Linked DNA regions of Caenorhabditis elegans. The protein of the gene in region 2 purifies or fractionates together with the protein of the main gene of each other region. This does not show direct contact. Each region holds a gene or a part of one and is shown on either strand. Other genes may lie near its edges.

Evidence for each region.
Region 1: the proteins of kle-2 (region 2) and hcp-6 purify together in Caenorhabditis elegans (affinity purification with western blotting; 2 studies listed by BioGRID, with this or other methods). This does not show direct contact.

The regions. Positions count from the first base shown.
Region 1 is NC_003279.8:5,163,459-5,171,250, forward strand, and holds the start of hcp-6 (Condensin-2 complex subunit hcp-6), read left to right. Parts: upstream 1-1,689; 5' UTR 1,690-1,698; coding exon 1,699-1,882; intron 1,883-1,931; coding exon 1,932-2,176; intron 2,177-2,226; coding exon 2,227-2,685; intron 2,686-2,742; coding exon 2,743-2,916; intron 2,917-2,964; coding exon 2,965-3,998; intron 3,999-4,043; coding exon 4,044-4,137; intron 4,138-4,188; coding exon 4,189-4,666; intron 4,667-4,708; coding exon 4,709-5,781; intron 5,782-5,832; coding exon 5,833-6,784; intron 6,785-7,114; coding exon 7,115-7,201; intron 7,202-7,302; coding exon 7,303-7,646; intron 7,647-7,690; coding exon 7,691-7,792. Other genes in the region: let-630 (Small ribosomal subunit protein mS39), read right to left, coding at 1-1,097, 1,142-1,279, 1,325-1,423. UniProt on the Caenorhabditis elegans protein: Chromosomal protein which is recruited to mitotic chromosomes by hcp-3 (CENP-A) and hcp-4 (CENP-C).
Region 2 is NC_003281.10:7,939,969-7,946,299, reverse strand, and holds kle-2 (Condensin-2 complex subunit kle-2), read right to left. Parts: upstream 4,584-6,331; 5' UTR 4,578-4,583; coding exon 4,476-4,577; intron 4,402-4,475; coding exon 3,652-4,401; intron 3,603-3,651; coding exon 3,077-3,602; intron 2,744-3,076; coding exon 2,363-2,743; intron 2,313-2,362; coding exon 2,058-2,312; intron 1,964-2,057; coding exon 1,779-1,963; intron 1,260-1,778; coding exon 993-1,259; 3' UTR 707-992; downstream 1-706. Other genes in the region: gsto-1 (Glutathione transferase omega-1), read left to right, coding at 269-395, 446-705; C29E4.12 (Protein FMC1 homolog), read right to left, coding at 4,766-4,874, 4,929-5,146; C29E4.10 (Putative galactocerebrosidase), read right to left, coding at 5,444-5,530, 5,574-5,821, 5,870-5,967, 6,247-6,331. UniProt on the Caenorhabditis elegans protein: Regulatory subunit of the condensin II complex, a complex that seems to play a role in prophase chromosome condensation and in chromosome segregation in mitosis and in meiosis.

The DNA of each region.
Region 1 (7,792 bases), on a different chromosome or scaffold from region 2:
TCATAAATTCTGTTCAGTGAAGCACTTTGTTCCACAGCCAATTGTAATTGTCTATTATAGAACATTGATTCAATTGTGAATGCTGGCATCTTTACTTCGTTTGCTTTGGATTCATAAATTGAAACAAGATTTTCTGCGAGGTTCTCATTTGCAGCTCTGTAATGGATTCCCATTGCTTCGACGAAGAAAAGATTACAAGTGGATGTAATCGGCTTGAGAGTTTTTCCAGTAAGGCTATTCTGAATTTCATTGAGCCAAGATATAGCCACGGTGAGCTGGTGATTATAGGTCTTCTTTTGCTCGTCACTCTCTCGTTTTTCATTATCCAATAATTTAAAATCTATGATGTTTTTGATAATTAAATGAAAAGATGACAGTGCTGGTTCAACTCCAATCTCTTTCATTTCTCCAATAATTTCAGTGAACGCCTTCACACGATCTTCAAACTTTCCAGCTTTTGCAGCAGACGACAGTAATGCATTGAACGTGAAAATATCGGGTGTCATTCTGAGGGAAATCATTTCAGCTACCAATTTCTTCCCGACACTGTAGCTTGAAGCGCCAATTAATCCATTGAACGCTTCTCGGTAAACTTTTCCTTTTGCAGCTCGATGCTCCTTGTACAATTCTCTAGCTCTTTCCAAACTAGAATGATCAGAAAACTTGCATAGACCAGCAATCATTATAGAAACGGTTTCATCAGTTTTTGGGAGAGTTTCGAAAAGAAGATCAGCGACTGCACCCGATTTCCATGAGGATGTAGAATCTTCTCCAAAATTGCGCATTCCAACAAACTCCTCCCATTCTGCGAAAGGTACGTTTGACGAATTGTAATAGGTTACAAGACGGAATAGTTCCAGCTGGACTTTCTCGCTAACGTCAACGTTCTCTGATCGCATGCGTTCATACAAAATACACGAGTCTTTTACTTCTCGACTTGAAATCATTTTAAGCAGGTTATTCTCTGTCGGTTCAACTTGAAGGGGATCTGCTAGATGTCGAGGACGGAAAACCGGGAGCTGAGGTTGATCTCTGTCAAAAGCGAAGAGGGTTGGCCATTCTGTAGCTAGTTCTCGTGCAGCTCTTTTGCCAAACTCCTAAAATTATCAAACTTATTCTAATATTCCGGCAAAAATTTTACCTTCGCCATAAAATAGGTCTTTTTCGTTGACTGCGTGGAAGGAATGGTAATTGGATCGTCAATGTAGGCAAAATGTGGAGCAGTTGTGTCCGGGCCAACGGTTTCTGACAAGGCATTTAACAAATCTGTTGGAGATCTCTGGAAATATAGAAGTTCAAGTATGAATTTTTAAAAATAGTCAACCTCGATTGCTGGCTGTATTGTCAATTTTTGAGATAATGCAGGCTCAACCGACGATAAACTGCGAGTTATAACTCTGCCAAGTCCCATGCGGCCGATCATTGCCTAAAAAATATTAAGTTAAGCAAAGAAAGATGAAAAACACTCAAAACGTAAAAAGCCTAAGTAAGAACCAAAAAAAAAAATCGGGTGTTAAAATGTTTTGTCCGCAGTATTGCGCGCCGTGTTTGCACCATGGCCTAGAAACACAATGGCCGTGGCCTAAAAATCTCAACGCGGTAAATTCAAACAGAGATCCTAATTTTTTTTCCTAAATATTTATTTTTAACGTTTTAAATTACCCTTATTGAAATGATTCATTTTTTATTTTAGATTCAATGTCGAATATCAACGAAAAAGATTTATCGGAGTTTCTTGAGTCAAATCTCCGGTCTCTCAACGATATTGACGATGCCGTTGCAACTTCTTCAGCAGAATGCAATTATGAAGATTATGAAGAATTCACAAATTCTGTTGACCTGACTTTTTTCGAGCAAGATCTGAGTGGAGTTCTGAAAGAGCGTATGTTGAGAATTTTGTTAGCTTCACTATTCAAAATTGTTATTTTCAGTAAAGAAACTTGCCGAAAGCGTTGTAATCTCGGGAAAGAAATGCGATATTCGGAATATTTTTGAAGAAAGTGATGTGGCGACAATGAAGTTTAATCTATTCGTCTGGTATTTTCTCGAAAACGGACAGAGATCTGACAGTTCGGAAGAGGATGTTGATAAAGGAGTTTCTGCTGCCAGTAGTTATATTGCTATGTGCTCATTGCCTGGAGCAATCTCAGATCTTTATCAAATTGGTTTATACAATGTAAGTATACGGGTTTATTACATGTCATATAATCAATGTTATTTTTTCAGCAATGTCTGAAAATTATTCGAAACTGTTGTCATACAGTTAGGATAGGAGAGACTGTCGTTACAAAAAAATCAAGTGGAGCAAAGAAAAAGAAAGCGGGTGGAAAGTCAGACGAAACAAATGTGGATGGAGAAATGACTGTAACAACGGGAGCAGCAGATCCTATAATTGGTCCCCCTCGAATTGCTGTCGATTCGGCTGAGCGATACCTGCATCATCTCACAACCCAGTTATTTGCTTTTCTGCATAGCAACACCTTCAGTATTGATACACCAACACTCATGAGCACACTAGAAGTCGTGGAAGACATCGGCCGTTTAGATCTTGACAATCGAACCGCAGGAAGAGCGATTCGAGCGAATTCAGTCCACGAGTTCCGATCGTTGGAGCGATTTACGGATCGATACTGTGCATTTGTGCATTCTTTAGTAGAAAGCAAGTATAAAACAAGAGCAGAAGTGGTGGGATTAAAATTAAAAAAATTACAAAACAAATTAATAAGGTTAGTACAAATTTAGGCTTACGGAAGACTTATTCGCCCTCGCCTTGCGCTGATGCCATATCCAGATGAAAGCAATAAATCTTCAAAGATTTCAACGGAGAGAAAGAGATCTGGTGAATTACATGTCAATTTAATTCTATCACGAATTTCAAGAAATCCCGAAGCAAGAGAGTTGAAGTATATTCAGACAGTGAGCAGTTTCTTCGAAATATTTTATTAACTTATTTTTAAATTTTAGGTTACTGTGATGGTGTATTCACAATGTCCAGATCTAGCCGAGTTTCGAACAAATATCGCCACGTTTATCCACAAGATTCTCGAAGCTCTTCCATACACATATACCTATGATTTTGTCCAGTTCATGAATGTCTTGTTCAAAGGCCGCGGAGCCGGAGTAAAATCCTTGTCTACAGAGCTCTCGAGTATTCTCATCAGCAGTTTTGACTTCACCGCACCTGACCCAGGAGCTATTCCAAACTTGGACGCAGAGCAGAATGAAGAAGAGGATGAGGAGGAGGAAGGGGAAGATGAAGAAGAGGAGGAAGAAAACGAGCAGGATGATGTTGCAGTCAAAGAGGAAGAACAGTCGGATAAATCAGACGAAGAGAATGATGGCGATAACGAGGAGAATGTTTCTAAAAAGAAAGAAGAGAAGAAGAAAGAAAAGAAGGCGAAGGAAGTTAAAGAAGTTGGTCGAATGGATGCAATGTCTGTTCTGTATAACATCGTTTACATGGCTTGTTTGGATAAAGCTGCAGCTATGCGACTTCACGGAGCCAATAGTTTGACGAAAATCCTTCAGTCTCAATCGCATCGAGAAGCTTTCCAATTGTTCTGCGCAACAATAAATGCGGAAATGGATGAAAAGTTCGGCGCAGTGGGCGACAACCTGAGTGAAAGTCTTGAAGATTTAAATGTTTCTGGTAAAGCACCAAGTAGTAAAACAAAAAAGCCAACGGATCTACTTCTCGACGAGCAGCAAATCATTCAAAAGTTCAATAAGTTGAAACTGATGAACAAGGGAGAGACACGCGTTGAAAAGGATATAGTTTATATGATCGTGCGCCGACTATCAACTGACGACAAGGCTCCGGTCAAGAAGGCTGCGTGCTCGCTTCTCAAATCATATCTATCATATTGCGACGAAGCATCGAAATTTGAAGTTGTGCTTTCAATTCTTCAAATGTTATGTCGAGACAGAATGGTTTCAGTCAGAAAAACTGGAGCCGATGCGTTTACAGAACTTATGTTACGAGATGCAATCCTTTTCAAGTAATTGTAATCTTTGACGAAATTTAAAACAAATTTTATTTTCAGAGAAAGTCTCAGTTCAAAATGGCTTCACACCTTGATCTCGATGCTGAATGATACAGATAATGACGTCACTGAACATGCCAGAAAGTTGATTATGGTATGGGCTTAATTATTTATAATAGAAGCTTAATTTGTTTCCAATTTCCAGAAAGTTCTCACTCCCTTACTCGAAAACTCATCGGATCTCACATGGACGCTGTTAGATACAATTGAATCTGTCACCAATCACCGTCAATACCTCATGAGCACATTGAAAGATGCAGTTCGTGAAAAACTCGTCAAGCGCACAGTAATGGATTCGATGAAGCAGCACATTATTAGTGGCAGTGAGAAACTGGATGGCGCATGGATGGTGTTCTCGCAGTTGTGTGTTCAGTTTGAACAGAACGTTGATTTTGCGATTGAGACGTTCAGCAGAGTTGACTTGTCTCGAGAATCAAATCTCGTGCAATACATGATCCACGTCATTGAGAACAATATCAAGAAAATCGATGACGATACAAAATCAGATCTTGTGAACACTTTGCAAGGAACTTTTCGTGATTATTGCCTGCATCCATCTCATTCTAGAAGTATCTACCATTGTCTCGGAAAGTTAATGGACGGAATTGGTGATAGATCTCTTCGTACGTCTTTCTTTTAAATGTTAATTCAATTTTTATTTTCAGATGGAAAAGAGTTCAGCGATTTCGGAGAGACTCTTCTCATTAAATGTTTCGATACGATCGTGCAATCGTTTGAGATGTTCAAAGACAAAGATGAATGGAAACGAAATTCCGAAAGTCAAGAAAGGCTTCTATGTACAGCTCTCAACGTGGCATCTGAAGTATTTTCCTATTCACCACAACTTGTTCCGCGACATGAACGACTCGGAAAAACGCTTTCGCTGATTGTGAATTCCACGGAAAACGGTTCTTCTGATGCGTCGACAGTTAATCCAGATATGCCTTCTGTTCATCATACACGACCACCAACTCAGTTATCCGAAGTTCCATCATCACAGAAGTCTTCCAAGGGTGGTATGATGTCCCATGAAGGTGCCATGTTCAGTGATAAAGTCCGTGCAGTTGGAGTCGTCACCTTGGCGAATATGATTTTGGCGCACGATCGTCTATTGAAACTGATGCCGATGCTTGTGAAACAGCTTCAATACAATACAGCTCATCAAATTCGGTCTAATATCGTACTAGCCATTGGTGATATTTGTTCATCCTACAAAACAGATCGATATGCGCCAATGCTCGCTGCATCGTTGTGTGATCCTTCAGTTATTGTTCGTCGACACGCCATCAATCAGATTGCTCGACTAATCTCGTTTGGTATTTTTCGGTTTAATGGAGAAATCATGATCCGTATGATGTTAGCTTCTCTTGACGCCAATGAAGATGTTCGGAATGACGCAAAACTTTACATTAGTGAGGTTCTCCAATCTGAAGAGCCCAACTTCTTCCCTCTCAACTTTGTACAGTACATGATTGCACTTACGCAAGCTCGACGATTGGTTGGAGTTGGTCACGATGAAGATGACAGAGGACAAGTTGATGTTGCTATTGGAGGTGGTGATCCATTGGCTAGACCATCCAGAATTGCCATCTACACGTTCATGATTGATTCTTTGGATGATCGTTCCCGATTTGATGTGAAAATGAGCATTTGTCAGCGTATCTTTACTCCGATTGTCAATGGAGAGTACGATTTCAGCGATTACAATGTTCAATGCCTACTTGACGATGCTCTTTTGGTAACTAAATAATACAAATGTTACAATTTTATCTTAATTTTCGCATTACAGATAATGGCTTCAAACGAAATGCAAGTGAAAATGGACGTCGGGAAGAATCCTAATGAAAATGCGATGGATGATCCATCTCCCGAAGTTTTGGAAGCTGCAACCGGCTTCATGCAAAAAGTATATCTGGATCACTACATGAAAACCATCGTACCTTCTATCCTATCTCTTCGTGAATTTCTCAATCAACATCGCTCGCCGCTCCAAAGAAAGTGTCTTCTCGCGATTCGAATGATATGTATTGAACACAAGAACGATATAGACGAAATACTTCAAGACAATCGTCAATTGAAGGACGAGATGATGTTTGAATTGCAAAGAGTTAAACAGAGAACAGAGGAGGCGAATAGAATTCTCGACGAGTATTTGAAGAGAGTCGCTGAGTTTAAAAAGCAGCAGAAGAGACTTTCGAAATCGCCGGCGCCAATGGAACTCGATGCTGAGCCAGTTCAAGAGAGTGCTGAAGCTGTTGAGATGGGGTCACCTGCTAGAAGAATCGAGGAAGATCAAGAAAACGTGGAAGAAGAAGTAGAAATGAGAACTCCACAGAAGAAGAACCCGGATGCTGATGTGCCCAGAACTCCATTAAATGCTCTCCGAAGTACCACAGAAGAGAAGTCTACTCCGAATGCGAGACTATTGTCACCAAAAACTATTAAAAAGATTCGTCGCTCTCTGGGAGCACTTATTCACACTGAAATGCGCCTTAATCCTCCAAATTTGGAAGAAACCAAGATAGATGATACGACGATAAACCGTTCTAAACAGGCCGACAAGACAGAAGAGAAGACCATTGTAGAGGAGGAACCAATGGAAGAGGCAGCCGCCGAGAAAACTGTGACAGCCGAAAATGATCATGTTGATGCGGAGAAAACTGTGATAGCTGTTGAAATACCTCCAGCTACAGAAGCTGAAGAGGACGAGGTGGTCGATGTGCAATCGGAATCTAGAAGATGTATGTATATGGTTGAGCGGAAATTTGGATGAAAGGGAACTTAGCTTAGATAAATCTAATAAATTAGATTTTTTTTGCACAAGAAAAATTCTTTCGAAACTGGAGAAATAATTTTGGTTTTAATTTTTTGGTTGTTGCAAAATCTGATAATTTTGGGCATTTGTGAACTAGATACAATTCCGAGTGTTATTTTTCGACAGAAAATTATATTAATTTGTTAGTTAACGACAGGCTTTTCGCTCACTTTTGATTGAAAAAAACTACAATGCATAATCGTCGAAAACAATAAACAATACTAAAAAAAACGTCTGAATTCAAAAATTATTCCAGCTCGTCGTAGAAAAACGCCAAATTACGATGATGAAGAGTCTGTGGATGCTGATGGAAAAATATGGAAGAAGCCGAAAATTGTCAACAGTAAGTTATTTTTCCTGATTTCATTGTTCAATTTGCTGTATTTTATTGACCACGCTTTCACACAAGAAAAAATGTGTTTTAAATAATTTATTTTCTTGAAGAATCCCCGGAAAAGGAAGTCAATATTTCGGCCAACGTCACTTTGCGTCGTAGTCGTCGGGGTCAGTCAACAGAGCCACCAGTCGTGAAAGAGAATTCTAATCGAAAACGGAAATCTGTTGACGAGGAAGAGGAAAATGTGCCAACAAGTTCATCTGGTAACACTGAAAATGATCCACTGTCACGCGGAGTGACTCCGTTGATTTTCGATGAAAGTAAGCTTGGTGCAGGACGTCATTGTTCAACTCCGATTCGATCACGAGAAGACGCAGATCCAAGCGATGTCACATTCTCCCTTAATTTGTCGGCTATTACCGAAAAGGAAGACTTGAAAAACAGAAGTAAGGTATTCACAATTTCTTGAATTTACAAAACGCCTTAATTTTACAGAAAGTCAAGCTTATCACCTTCACAATATCTTCGAAGAGGATGAAGAGGAAAGCTGATCAATGTCATTGTATAAATCTTCCATCGAAATTTGTCTTATTTATC
Region 2 (6,331 bases):
TCTACAGTTGTTTTGAAGGCGCAGCGATACCAATACCTTTAAAAATGGAAGGAAACATACATAGTTTCTAATCCCCTTTTTGAACTTCCTCTAATATAAAAAATCAGTTATTCGCTCCGCCCATTTTTCAACCAATCAGATGAGTGTTTGGAGTCCAAAACTCTGATTGGTTTGAGAGTGGGCGTGGCTATTCATTTTGGAGGAAATTCAAATATGATCTTGAATTTTTCTATTTTCTAAACTATTTTGTTTTAAATAAGCAATTCAGGTAGCCCATGCAGTTCCATTGCTCTTCGCCGTCATGCGAGACCGAACTTTGAAAGATGAAAAGCAGCGAAAAGTTTTTGAAGTTTTGAAACAAGCTGAAAATCTCTTGGCCAATGATTTTTATGCTGGTGAGTTCAATTAATCGATACAATTTTTTGACCAAATTCAAACTATTCAGGATCTCAACCAGGTTATCCAGACTACTTATCATTTCCATTTTTTGAGAAAATTTGGTGGTCAGCTAGTTTGGATGGAGTTGTCGATTTACCAACAATTGAATTCCCAGGAGAAGAAGAATATCCTAAATTGACAAAATGGTTCCAGAAAATGATTTCTTCAGATGTTGTTCAATCCGTCACCCAATCTTTGGAACATGGCGCTGCATTCATGAACGCATATGCCACGCACCAGGAATTGAATTATGATTTGGGCCTTTGATATTAAAACCAGTCGATTTATTTTTAAGATTGAATAAAAAATGAAGGACGTAATTAAAAAACAATCAAAGAAATAGTGGTAATTCGTCGGAAAAAAAGTTATTGTACAGTCAGTAAAGTACCATAACGAACAGAAGAAAAATACTTGGCATCTAGAAGTTAATTAATTGATACAGTAAAATGAAAGTATAGCCAGAAATCGAGATACAAGTAGAGACAATGAGGAATGTTTAAATAAATTAAGATGGTTTTCGGGAGATTTAATGCAAAAAAAACAATAATTATAAATTAGGCATCAAGAGCGCCAGCCTCCTTGAACATTTCACAATGCATATCTCTTTTGAGTAGTGTGATTTTCATCGAGTTGATTCTTTCCTCGAGTGGCAGTTCCATGTCCTCGCTGACCATGACATTTCCGACATTACACATAAAGAGGCACGAAAGGAAGTATCGACTGATTTCGTACCATGGACGATCCATAACCAAATCTAGTAAACGTTTCGTGCCACCTTCAATATCGTATTGGCCAATGACAGCACGACCAACTGCGTGAACCTGAAAATTATTATAATTGAGAAATTCAAACATTTAGACATTTTGACTTTTCAAATTACTGTGGTTGACCAGAATATTAAAGGTGGAGTAGCGCCAGTGGGGAAATTGTTAAAAACCACTCCTTTGGTTCCAAAATGACCAAATATCATGATAAAACTTTTGAAAATTTTTTTATTTACTGTCAAAAACTGGCAATTACTCAGTTTTTGCCACTCATATGTTTGGAAGTCGACCAAAAAAATTTATTACATTTTTTATTGTTTTAATTTTGTTTAAATTAATTGTATTAAAACATTGTAGGGGTCGAAACATACGACATTTCTTTAAATAACCTCAAAAGCTCATATTTTTCAAAATTTTGGCAATTTGCCAAAACTTTGACCGGAAATTATGAAAAATCTAAAACTTTTTGGAGTGTTTTATTATGATATTCGGTTGTTTTGAATCACTATAAGTGTATTTAGACAAAATCCCCACTGGCACTACTCCACCTTTAAGATTAAATACTCTAAAACATACATCATACTCTTTTCGAGTTTCTCCTTCTTCGAGGATTGGTTCCATTCGAGAATGCCATTTGTCAACATGTTCTTGTAGAGTTGACACGGCAACATCCACATCTTCATATGCTTTAGCCATCTCGTAAGCCATTTGTTCGCGATCTGTTCGATTTTCAGCAAACTTCTTGAGCAATGGTAAAGCTTCTGTAAATAGAAAATTTACTTGATAGACTTGAGAGAGTACAATTTCAAAGTATTAATTTTAAAATTTTATTATAAAATTTTGCAAATAACTTACTGTCGATGAGCAAATTTCCAGGTAAATTGATAACACTGTTCAGTTCGGCATCATCAATATCCTCGAATCTTAATGGAACATATTCAGCAGGCGGAATATCAAAATCTGTTTGAAGAGCATCGAATTCTAGGTTGTTTGGAGCCATAGGAGGCCGTTCACCACGTGGCCGCACGTCTTCTTCGTCGTCATCGAACCCACCTCCAAACATTGAGAGCTCGACTTCGGCAGCAAGATCTTCATCGACTACGTCGTCATCTGGAAAAAATATAATTCAGTTTAAATTTCATAAAATTGAAATTTCTTACATTCAGCTCCGAGGGTTCTTCTATTAGACGTTGGAATATCCTCTGTTACCGGTTCAAATTGCTCCACGGGTATCACACGAGCTGTCCGTTTTCTCTGCATATTCTGGATACGAGCTTCTCGGATTTTTGCAGTCTTTTCCTTGATTCTTCGTTTCTTCTCGGCTAGAATAGCAGTACGAAGTGATTCTATCTTCCAGTCCTTAATCGGATTTATACGAGCCGCACTTCTCCAATAGTAGTAATCCTGCAGATAGTCGTGAGTTTCCATGAACTCGTCTCGTCGAGACTTATTGATCTTTTCCTCACGTCGTTGCTTCCTAGCCAACATTTCAGCGGGTTTTGGTTGGAATTTCGTGATCTTTTTTACCGGCTTGCTAACGACTGAAATATATCATTTACTATATATAAAGCGCTTATTCCGTTTGTCCATAGCTTGTAGTCTATGTAGTCTTTGTAGTCTGCGAAGTTTTAGCTTCTGGAGGGATAGTGAGTTGGGGTTAGTGTAGGGATATAGTCGGGGTACTGTAGTGGTACAATGGTGGTACGGTAGGAGTACTGTATGATTACGGTAGGAGTACTGTATGATTACGGTAGTTTCAGAAAAATTGGTTTTCAGCTCCAGAAGTCGGGGGCCGCGCCGGAGGTGCGGTCCACGGCTCATATATATATATAATCTAAAAAATACCGAAAGAATCCCATTAATTCAACAAATACCTGGCAGATTCTCGTCTCCCGTGTACCAAATAATATGATTTTTATCCAGCTCGTCCCATGGTGCCGGTGCTCGCTTCTCATCCCTTCTGGACAAATTTCGAATATAATCATCGTCGTCATCGTCTCCTCCACCACCAAAATCATCATCAAAGTCCATGGGCGCGTAATTCTCATCAGGTCTTCTACTAGTGTTTGGTTCATCGTTTTGCATAACAGATCCAAAGTTATCAACGAACATATCAACTAAGCCAGTGGTAAGATGAGTGCTCGGGCGATTCTTATTAACTCTTCCCTCCACAAATGACAAGAAATCATTCAAATGATTACTCTGTCGATGTCGTTCAACAAATGGTTGTGAGAGACGAGTTGGTTGAGATCCAAAGCCTTGAGAATCTCGAAGAGTTTTAGCTGCAATTGTGATGGCTCTCGATGTGGCACGAGATTGAATTTCTTGATTTTGACGAACTGCTTCTTGCTCTATGAACCAACGAGGAGGTGGAACAACTTCACGGCCAGAGAGAGGATCCTGAAGAAATCAAGTTTTGAAAATGTTTCATCGAATTATTACCACTTACCTTAAACGGTCCATATGCACTGATCTTCTCATGCTCTTGCTCCAAATCTAACTCAACTTCCAAATCAGCAACACCAAAATTAGCTGCCAATTCCTTATTATCTGGCATCCAACGAGCACCAGGTAGTGTGAATTGGTCTAAATTTCCACGATAACAATCATGGGAGTAGAGTATTTGTTGATCGTGTTTAACTTTCGACTTTTTAATTTCAAAATCTTTTACTTTTCCGATAACATCAGGACGAGATTTTGCATTCAAAATTTGTTCATCAGTACGATTGAGCTGGCCGTAATTGAGCTTGAACATGAACTGGGTTGGCTTTGCTACTAAACAGCTTTTTCGCTCATATTGAGACTCTATAACTTCAGCATTCTCGACCATTCTCACTGCATCAATCGATTTTTTCTCTTCTTTTACTGTCTTCTCAAAATTTGCTAGAGCTTCCTGTTTCAGTGAGTCGATATCAGCCAAGTCGTAATTCGTCGATCCCAAATTAAAATTTTTCCGTCTTCCAGCTCCTCGTCTACTGCCGGTGTTTCCATCATCTTGACCTTTGTTCTCGACTAAATCCACAACTGAAATCGTCAGTTCATAGACATGATCTACTTTTCGACCATATACGGCACACGATCCTTGAATAATCCGGCATGCTCGTTGAAAATCGAACAATCTGTAAGTTGTCGCTGCATCCACCTGATTATCTGTGTCTTCACTTTCTTGTCTGATAACCTCGAGGTATCCGGCGAGTGCCTGAAAGTCGAGCAATTATTTATTTTATTTACCGAAAAAGAAAAGATACAACCGTGAAAAAAAATTATCCTTACTTTCAACACGTCGATTGAGAAGTTCTCGACAAGATCTTTTGCGGGTGTGACGAGCCATGCTAAATCTGTCGATTCTTGACCTGGAGGAGCATTCCTAGTCATTTGTACCTGAAACAACAATTCCAATGCTCTGGCGATGATTAACTATAAAAAAGATATAGAATGGTACGAAAACCATAAGGAAGTTATAAAAAACCTGAATAGTATTTTAAAAACGAAGTATTTTATTTTGATTGAAAAGAAAACAGGAATCTAATCTATTCGAGAAAGAAATAACAATTTTAAGTATTTTAAAGTTTCTTTTGTTCTGGAAGTTTCAATCCAACAATAGCAGCAGCCTCTTCAACACTCTTCTCGCCACCCTTATATCTCTCTTGAAGTTCATTAAGCTGTCGGGTTCTAAAATGAATGGATATTGATTATTACTTTCTTATTCTCATAAAACAAACGAACCCTTTAATATAGCTCAAATAGAGTTTTGCAACGCTCTCTGACTCGTTCTCGGCTTTTGAATATCTTCTTGTTGTAACCTGGTCGGCTTTCATTTGCTCCATGAGGTATTTATATTGTGCCGAATTCGGGGAGAATGTTTTGTCGACCTTTTTCAGTTCCGAAATGATGTTTTTGATGGTGTTGAAAGCGGTCACTCCTTTTCCAACAGCAGAGGCCATACTTTAATTTTGAAAATGTACAAAAAAGGGATAATAAATAGCACAATAACACAATTCAGACAAAAAAAGAAAACAGGAAAACGTTCTCAATTCAAACTGCGCGCGTGAGGCGCGCGTTGTTTAGCGAAACGCGGAGCATCGTTGCGGTACCATTTGCGCGGAAGTTTGAATCTAGTTTTTTGTGGCAATTGATTTTGACATTTTCCAATAATGTGGTAAATTATAAAATGGTACATTTATTTTAATAGAAACATGCCCAAGCAATATTAAATACTTTTTGAATGTAATTAATCAGCCTCAGTGAAAATAATCTGTTGAAATATTATCCCATTCGGAGATGCCAAAATTTCCAGTGCCAATCACGAATAAAGTGTCATTATTTGTCTGAAAACATTATATTTGAAATTCAATTGATTATTTTAATAACCTTATTTAATTGTTCTTCTGGAATTTCCACTGAAGTCATCACATGATGATTTCCGAATTTTATGAAGAGATGCGAGTCCAGTAAATGAATTGAGAATTTATAAAACTTTCCAAATTCTACTTTTCTTCGTGCTTTGAATTCAGCAATTATTGAACGGTCAACGAAATCGGAAAATATAGTTACTTTTTTATTTGAAAATTCAATCTCAACAAATATTCCACGACAGTTTATTACTTCTATGTCACATCCTGAAAATGTAATAGATTTTAATATGAATCACAACACTAATTACATACCACTACAATTACTCCTTATACCTAGAATGATGGATTTAGCTGTTGAGTGTTTTGGAATATTGACCTCGGCGTTTAGAATACTATTCTTCTTTCGATACCTAAATGGAAGGAATACCGTATACCGTATTTCCTCTATTAGTTTTGCACCCCTTTGCTCAACTTTGACACCTCATATCTCCTTTTTGGACATATAAATAATTAACAAACTACAAACTACAGAAAAAACATCTATCTAAATTTTTATCAGTTGACAACTTTTCTATAGAACAAACTACTACTGAGATATGAGCTGCCAAAGTTGAGAAAAGAGGTGTAAAAATATTAGAGGGAATACGGTATACTGTAGTTCCTCATAGGTCAAAGTCATCAATTCTTACGCCATAACTGCATATGGAGTTCGAATGTGTGAGGTGCACCAACTAATTGATGGGCGTGTCACTTTCTGTACCGCCCGTCCATTTC